Saccharomyces cerevisiae S288C: one gene and its partner. The gene in region 1 interacts genetically with each later gene. Each region holds a gene or a part of one and is shown in the gene's direction. Other genes may lie near its edges.

Evidence for each region. Genes that interact genetically often act in the same process or in processes that back each other up.
Region 2: mutations in ENV11 (region 1) and MSC1 together harm fitness more than expected from each alone (negative genetic interaction), as found in Saccharomyces cerevisiae (2 studies listed by BioGRID).

Annotation. Positions count from the first base shown.
Region 1 is NC_001139.9:630,699-636,115, reverse strand, and holds ENV11 (Env11p), read left to right. Parts: upstream 1-2,052; coding exon 2,053-4,635; downstream 4,636-5,417. Other genes in the region: mRNA splicing protein SMD1, read right to left, coding at 1-404; UPF3 (Upf3p), read right to left, coding at 649-1,812; Rho family guanine nucleotide exchange factor ROM1, read right to left, coding at 4,843-5,417. UniProt on the Saccharomyces cerevisiae protein: Involved in vacuolar processing and morphology.
Region 2 is NC_001145.3:14,635-18,598, reverse strand, and holds MSC1 (double-strand break repair enhancer MSC1), read left to right. Parts: upstream 1-1,922; coding exon 1,923-3,464; downstream 3,465-3,964. Other genes in the region: RSC9 (Rsc9p), read right to left, coding at 1-1,535; COX14 (Cox14p), read left to right, coding at 3,846-3,964.

The DNA of each region.
Region 1 (5,417 bases):
CCAAAATCGCGCCTTCTCTTTTTGCTGGGGTCATTTGCAATTTGACCCGATCTTCTTAGGGAATTAAGTTGCTTTTGGTCAACCAAAAGTGAATCCAGGTTCAAGGAATCAGGTAAGATTATCTGTCTTATGGTATTGCCTCTAATGTTTATGTATTGCAAACTTGCTATGTTGTCACTTGCAGTAGGTTGCTGTCCTCCAGTCAAGTACAGACTAGCCATCGCAATACCATTACTGTTCAATTTATTTAGTCGGGGTTGTGGTAGGGTCAACTTCACGTCAGTTAAGATAGCATTCATTTGTGGTGATACCGACTGCAGTGTACCCCAAACGGTGGTACCGTTTTTTAGTTCTATGGTAACCTGCTCATTGCGCAGCTTTTTTAAAAAGTTAACCAACTTCATAATCTTTTTCTCGACGATTTATAAACGATACTTGGAGTCATCTTTCTTCATGACAATTTCATTGTATATGAACATTTCATATATTTTATTATTTTAAATATTCATTGAAAAATCATTAAATACGAAACTCAGAATTTATAATGGGGAATACTTTATGTAATAATATAATCATAAAATATATAATTCTTATTATTTTATTATAAATGTATTCCATATATAATATATAAGAAGCCATGAGCTTTTACTACTTCTTGGTATCATCACGATGCAAAATTTTTACCCGTGGTACGAAAAGGTTTTCTTTAGGTTGGAACGACGGCTGGGTTTGAGCGGATGATGACTGAGGCTGAGAGGAGTTTGATATTTTTAACTTCTCTTGCAAAAGCATTTTCTTCTTCCTTTGTTTCAAAACCTCTTTACCCGCTTCCTCAATAATAACCACATTACTGTTCTTGGTCTTAGAAATGGTGCTTTTTTCACGATTTTCACGCTTCTTCTTGCCTCTGTTCCGTTTTTTCTTTGGTATCTTAGCGGATGCTTCCTCTTCTTTGAATTTCTTTTTGGCGTTTTTATTTTTCTTCTTTTTGTTCTTATTCTTGACCTTATCACCAGTTCCAACCAGCTCTGTTAACACCCTTTCTGTTCTTTCTGCTATTTTATTTTCTAACTCTATGCTTTTTGAGAATTCTTTTTCTAAAGATTTCAATACGCTAAAATCTTGGAATGAGTACTCGTCATTTTCATTCAGCTGTTTCATTGAATTCATAAATGTTTTAAAAATTTCGTCTTCTTCAATTGTTCCTACTAGCGCGGCATCCTTTTTTGATGTTTGAGTGAATTTCTTTACGTAGGGCGACAGTTTCATATCTGGAATTGTAATATTATCCTTATTATCAATGAATTTACAAGTTTTAATGAAATTTGCGCATTTTTCCAAGTCTGATAAGTTGTCGAACAAGAAATTGCACCGAGAATATGTCGAGTTTTTGAATACTTTACTAGAATAATGACCTTCAAAAAAACACCAGTCACTGTACTTGAGTTTACCCTGGATATCTTGCTTATCACCATCATCGTTATTATTATCTCGTAAGATGGCAAAAAATTCATCTGCAGTCAAATTTGGAGGTAGCAATCTAATAACAAGCTTAAATCCTTCATTCTCGGTTGATTTACCCAATCTAGCCTTTCTTTTATAGTTATAATACTCTCTGTTCCTTTTCTTGTTATTCCTTCTGCCTTTGCTATTGTTGTGGGTAGCATTAGTAGCATTATTAACCTTATTCTCATTCTTTTTAGGATCTACCGTCTCATTCTTACTTTTTCCTCTGTTCTTGTTATGATACCTATTTCCCCTGCCTTTCTTTTTCCCCTCACTATTCTTCAATTCCCCAGCCACATTGCTCATGATAGATTACTATATATTTCAGCAGAAATGTAAGTCCCTCAGTAGGTTTTCCTTTCCTCTTTGCTGATATATTCATGCAATAATCATCGACAATATTTTCTTTTGTATCTTACTTTTTAGGCGAAAAATTTTCAACTTTTGATCAGCAAACAATACACAAAATAAATAAAGGGATGATAAACCATAGAATAACAAAAGTCTTCCGAAATAGCATATGTACCAATCTACTCAATCATTAATATGAACACTGCATTGGATGATTTACATGGGGATTTGGTGACTTTAGAAGATAACGAAATCATCAATAATTCTGATCATTCATCTTCTCACTCTACTAGTCATGAGGAGGAAGACGAGGAAGAAGACGATACTGAGGATATAGAACTTATAGAAAAAGACGGCAATAAAATCCTATCAAGTAGAATTCATCCGGAAGACGAAATCATAAATGATGGGTTAAATATATGGATTCCGGTTCAAATGCTCAAGAAGAATATAGCAAAGTTCTGGTCCCATTTTCTAGCAATTGAAAAGAAATTAACGAAAGTTAAATGTAAACATTGTGGAGAGATACTAACAAGAAGCGATGCAAGTTTGACAAAAACCTTTAGATCTCACTTGAAAACAAAGCATAATATAAGTGCCAATAAAAACTTCTATTCCATGAATTTCACAGTAGGAGACTCCAATCTCAAAAACAATACTTCCAGCACAGAAATTACACGTAGACACGGCTATGATTCGTTAACCTTCAATTCCGACCAAAGTTTCAAATGCTTTGACATAGGAAAATTACAGAGCAGTAATTACCTTTCTATTTCCCAATTAGTAGCCATAGTCATAGCCTCAGAAAATTTACCGCTGAACTTCTTTGAGAATGTGTCCTTTAAATCTCTTTTATCAAAATTTCATAGGATCCCTCCTTTAACTACCAATATAATAGAGGAGTCAATTATAGGGTTGTCAAAATCAATTGATGAGTTGATCAGAAGGTCTATATCAAGGAATGATACACAATTACCCTTTACTATCCATTTATCCGATAGTAAGGAATCAAATCAACCTCTTTACTTGAAATATTCTAGGGAAATTCGGGCACAATTGTCTAACTTGGACTTATCCCATCTTATTTCTGTAAATTTTACAGAACTGGCTGGAAAAAGATCATTATTTTCTTTGCAACTGTTCGATAATACCAACAAAGTTTCGAAGGGTTTACCATTATCTATTTTTGTACGTAAAACAACGGATATAGATATTAGTGTCTGGCAGGAACAGCTCAACAATTTGTATTCGAAATACCCTGGCTTACAAAAATCGGTGATTTCTATAACTTTGCCTCAAAGCCATTATACAATGGTACTAGAGAATAGAAACAGTCATAATTTTACTTTCCATAGCGGGAGTGTGAGGGAGATAAAGTACCATACTTGCATAGTATCTGAATTACTTCATTGTTTTTTACAGCCGTTGTTTAATGTTCCTACTGAATCAATGCTGTCTTCCTTTTCTGTGGCCAAAGAAAATCATTCAGGAGGCTCTTTGTTAGACTCATTAATAGATTTTTCCCATATTGATTTATCATCTACTATTCTCGGCAAAATATGCTGTTTGATAGAAGAAGTTAACTTAAACGACTCCCTAAAATCGGATTTCCTATTATACTGCCAAAATTATACACAACCTAACTGCAATGAACTTACTTCAATCCTTTCCTGTAACTGCGATAGATTTTCAGCTTTGAAGAGTATCTTAGAAAAATTTGCAAACTTAGTTCCTTTCTTCAAGTCTATCAACTCTCATTTAGAAAATGAATCACTTAGTGAATCCGATTTTCGTCTAATAAACACGGTAGAAGAGACGTTAAGAACTTTCGAGCAATCAATTGAGTACTTTGCTTCTTCCGCTCCATTGAAATTTACCCATACCTTGGTTTTTATCATTAAGTTTGAGTTATATTTGACAGAGATTATACGAAGCTTCAAATTCACCAAATCTAAAAAGCCCTTTGAAAAAATCCTAGCAAGGCTTCTAAAAGTTAAAGACCTTTATTTACTTGATGATGTAAACTTGATTGGTGCTTTCCTGTATCCATCAATCTTCCAAAGTAAAAGCCTTCTAAATGAAATCTTTGGCACAACATCGGTAAATAAAATAGTTCATAACATGACCAAAATTGTTCTAAGGTATCTTAAAAACTTTATCAATATAACTAATTTTCGTTCCTCTAATAGTGGTGGGGAGAGCGGTCGGAATTCCGGTAATAATCTTCTTTCTGACTACGAGGCCATTTTTATGAAAGAATCACGGGACGTAGAGCTTTTATGTAACACCAAGTTAACCGCACCACTAACAGAAGATTCATTACTTGTCCAAATCATTCGGGATGATCTATTACGCTATGTCAACAGAATTGCGCATGAGCTGCCTAATGCATACCATGACTACTTAAATGATAATGATATTAGCTTCGATGGATCTCACTTTACAAAACATGAGTTATCTGAGGAAAACGACTCTAACTCGGGGGAATGGTGCCTAAATCCCATGGAAGAGACATTTGATATTCATATTCCTATCTCGGATTCAATTTGGAATAATTACATAAGCAGTAAAAACAAGATTGAAGTAATCGATATTTTACTTCAGTTGCTTTCAGTAAATTCGACATCTTCAATACGGTCAGAATTATCTTCTCTAACAGCTAATCAAGACTTCAGTACCAAGTTGAGTGAGGAAACAATTAAAATCAAACTTTTGAATTCACAGTTTAATCTCGAAAAAATTAATTTTCACTCTGGATCAATTTTCGATGCTTGCTAGTGACATAATATTCCAAAGGAAAGGACAATATACTTTCAAGACTTTATTTTCTAGGACAAAATTCTTGTCCATTGTATTATATTTTCTTAATGGCACCCATATATTTCAGGTAAACTACATATGGTTATACAAATAAAATAATATTACTTAAATTTAGATGTATAGGTTCAAGAAATAAGTTTTAAGGTATTAATATGGGCGGTCAACTCAAAAATTTAACAGTTCGATAATTTCAAATCCTTGAGGATCCTCATAACAATATAAGATCTTCTTGGCATATGATTTTAACATACGTATCTTGTTTCCAAGTACACAGCGGACAAGTTCTCCATTTTCTATATGTCTAATTTCAATAAAGTTACTATTAATTGCCACAATATAAGGGTAGGAACACGCGAACTGTTCTGGTTCCCCCTCCCAATGAAAACATCCCTTTGTCTCCTCCCTCTTCCCTTGCTTATTGAGAAAAAAGCAGAGTTCTGGAAAACATGCAAAAGTTGAATTTTTTATCGGAAACATGGAAACTACTTTGAACGTCTCTTTATACATGTTCGCTAAAACTTTGTTATCATGTAGATTTAAAAGCTCCCTCATTTTAAATCCATTTTTATCACACACTTCCGGTACGTTTAATATTTTGATATTTTTTTTACAACCAATGCAGATCTTATTCTCCAAAAAAGAAAAGGACAGAGGTTCAGAATCAACGCTAAAATCTACCAAGCCTGCCTTTAGGTTTTTTTTAAAATTACCGCTATTAAAATCAAATATCAAAGGATTAA
Region 2 (3,964 bases), on another chromosome or scaffold:
TTTTGTCTTGCAGGTGTAATTTCCTTAGAGTCATTCAAAAATTTGGATTTTAGTGCCGAAATGGGTACCTGGGATTCTCTTTCCCCGTCTGCAATACCCAAAGCTTTAAATCTTGGTTGAATGCCCTTGATAACAAACCTTTTCTTGCCGGTTACCGGGTCAGTGATTACGATAGCAGCGGCGTTATTGAAAGCATTCGAGACATTCTTGATGAATTCCACGGCAGGTAACAATTTGCGTCCGGATTCGCGAACAGGCTGACCAAATTTGGATTCGTAGGATCTCCAAAGCGATATTTGTGTAAATTCTGCTTCTTGTACAGGCTCAAAGCAACATCTCAACCAAGCGGTTGACCTCAAGGGCTCGTTAAGTTTGAAAAGTTGTTGAAACAGATCCTCAGATAAATTGGGAGGCTCCTTTGGAGCGGGAGGCTTCAACCTTTTAATCAACCTAATTTTGTGCTTTTGCAAAAGATGGTAATCTGGTGTGGCGATATTATATGATAATAAATTAGGCAGCGTGGCTTCCAGTATCAAAGAGCACTCCTTACTCTTGAATAACTCAGTGATTCTTTGAGAACCGGGCAAAATGTATTGATAGAGGAAATCCAACGAAGCAATAATCAGCTCACTATCGCATTCTAACAGTAAAAAGGAAACGATCAACGAAAGAGTCTTATGGTCCAAATTGTCCGCTGCACTTTCCTCGTTAGCTTTGGACCTAACCAGTAATCTTGAAAGAGACCTCAATATAGAAATAACCATGTATCTGTCCTTAGTGTAGTTCAAGATGGACACCAGCGTTTGGAAATAATGATCATCCTTCATTGCAGGAGCAATATAGGACGAAATGGCCTCCATCAAGTCCAGAGTATAATGGGTCAACTCGTTAAAAAAAGTTGCATTTCCTTCGTACAATTGCCACTTGTTATCGCCTGTAGCGACGCACTGAAACTTCTTCAAAATGAAAAGAATGAAAGATTTGATTTCTCGATCCTTGACTAGTATCTGCACCGAATCAGTATCTTGAGCCAGATTCCTTAGGATCAGCAAGGCATTTAGACCCATTTGTAGAGAATCCATCGCCTTTGAATCACATATAGACGATTTGTTAAGACCTTCCACGATGCGCTCCAAAGGCAATATGAAAGTCTTGAAAAGTGGCAACAGGTCCGGCAATGTCCGTAAGCTGATCATATATGGCGCCTTGTTACTATACGTAAGATATTTTTTTAAAGACCACTTAATCTCCTCCGGTATCCCACTCAGTAACGCCATCTCCATCCTCGTCAAATCGTCTACACCTCTGGCCGTTTCCTTGGGTAGCGACTGGAACACATTAAAATTGGCCAGCGAATAGTGGATGGACTTAGTATTGGCTGCAGGTCCCGTCAGAACTCCATTAGACTGTAATCGAGACACTTTAATAGGGTTAGCCACCATTGTCTCGAACATGTTCACAGGCTCGGAGCTTGTGGCGGGTGCCTCGCTTACTGGAGTACCATTTAGCGGTGTGTTTGAAGCTAACGAGTTCATCTTCAATCTTTATTTCCACTTCTTTACAAGCTTTCTGCCTTTCTCTATGACGTCTTTCCCAAAACACTACCTCTTGACACGACTTGTTGTTTTCGTTTTTCTCTAAGAATATCACTATTTTCACTTTTTTCACCTTTTCCACCATTACGTCGGTAAGCAACAGCATTACGCCGGCCTCACCTTAGAGGGGAAGAATAAGGGATCTTTGGAACTGAAGGAAAATAAGGGAGAGGGAGGAAACAAGGAGGCGGTGAAAGGGGATCGACAGGGTATTTAAAGCCACTCATGGAGTCGTATTCCTAGCATGATTAGATTACCGGAGTTTAGAAGAGGATCTGCAATAGAAGAGGAGACAACTACAAAAGAACTGTTAATTAAGAGAAGAAGATGAAGCAATTCAAGTTGGTTAATGCGGTTTCCGCATCATTTGTGCTTATTGGCTTAGTGTTGGCCAATTCAGATTCAGTGTTCGACAAGTGGACGCAGGAAGACCTGGCCGATTATTTACGTGATAATAAGAAGAGCTTGGAAAAGTACGCTACAGACTCCATTGAGGACTTGAAAACGGAGGCATCGCAGGTATGGGACAAACACGCGCAGCCCAAACCATGGTGGCAGGTGTGGTCTAGTGACAGCAGTAGCGTGAGCAACAGTAACCCCGGATGGTTTGGTTATACTGGTTCTTCGGATCACCCAGTTTCTGACTGGCTCTTTGACACCTGGTCCACAGACAGTCTACGTAACTTCTTGAAGAAAAACGGCGTGGATGTTGACGACGCTAAGGCTTCCAAGGACTCGCTGGTGAAGACTGCTAAGGAGAACTTCAACAAGATTTCCAAATCTTTGAAGTCGTCGGGATACTATCCTTCTAGCTCTTACTTTGATAGCTGGTCAACCAAAGATTTGCAAAACTGGTTGAATGACAATGGTATCGACTACGACAAGGCAGTTCAAAGCAAGGACGAGCTAGTTCAGAAAGTCAAGGAAAACATCTACCGAACTTCAGAAAAGGCAGAACAGCAGCGTCTGGGTTTGCTAGAAAGCTTGGATTTGGCTCACCAACAAATATTAGACACATCGGGACAAATAAAAGACACTGTATTTGACAAGTGGTCTAGTGATCAGTTAACCAATTGGTTGGAGAGCCACAAGGTCAATATTGACAAGAACATGGCCAAGAAACACGACTATTTGGTTAGAATGGCCAAAGAAAATTCTGCCAATTTGAAAGATGATATCTACTGGTACCTGGACTATATGAAAAGAGAGTCTTCTCCATTTTTGACCAAGACCCCAGAATACGTTGGTTCCGTTTGGGACTCTTCTAAAAATTTCCTCACAAATTTGTACTCCAAGTTCAGAGGTAAGACTGACAATGTGATCAATGATACTTTTTTGGTTGGCCTAGACTCTTGGCCAAAGGACAAATTGAAAATGTTTTTAGATGCTCGTGGTATTAAGTACTCAATGCTGTCTACTGAACATCAATTGAGAGAATTAGTCAAAAAATCCAGAAACGAAAAACTCAAGATCCTGCCAAAAGACTACCAAAAATACTTTGACAACAGTAACTGGTCTTTGGATGACATAAAGGGTTGGTTTGCTGACAAAAAGGACGACTTCCAAGATTCTCAGACTTACTCCACAATTATGCAGGATTTTGACAAGGTTTCCAAAAACACAAATGATGCTAAGGACCAAATCGCTAAGACCTGGTCAAATACCTTTCAGAGCTGGTCTCAAGAAGACCTATTGCAGTACCTAAAATCATTCGGTGTTCCGGTTAAACAGACTTCTACGAAGGACGACTTAATCAACTTGGCCAAGCAGAATACGCAATGGTTGTTCGGCACTGTTAAGGAGCCTGCTTACAAGAGGTACCTACATAACGTTAAAAACTGGTCGAAAAGCATATTAGGGTTCAACTAATGATTGGGGTGTCAACGTAATGTACTTTTCTCCCCAATTTTTCTTTTCATCCGTATATTTTACCGTAAAATGGACAAGCTAATAGCAAAACGAAAAAACACGTTGTCACTTCTATATAACTTTGCTTAAGTAAGTATTTTGTCTTTATAATGTTACATACTGTGAAATACACTCTTTAGAAAACACTATTTCCTCACTCTCGGAAGCAGATTTCGAAGTTCTTCCTTACTTCTGAGCTTTGCTTCTCCTTCCTTGCGATTAATGTTACCCGGTATACGAAATCGGAGAGGATCAGAATAAATGCATTGAAAGGAGCATAAATCTATACAGCGGTTTGGCAATGGTGAGAGGAAGAGAACAAAAAATAGAACGCAGATAGTCATGTCCAAATACGCTTGGTATACCAGAGTTACAGATACATTACATCGTCTAACGGTACTGACGTTGGTTGGTGGTACGTTATACATGTCGGGTGGCTTAGCTTACACTTTATACATGAA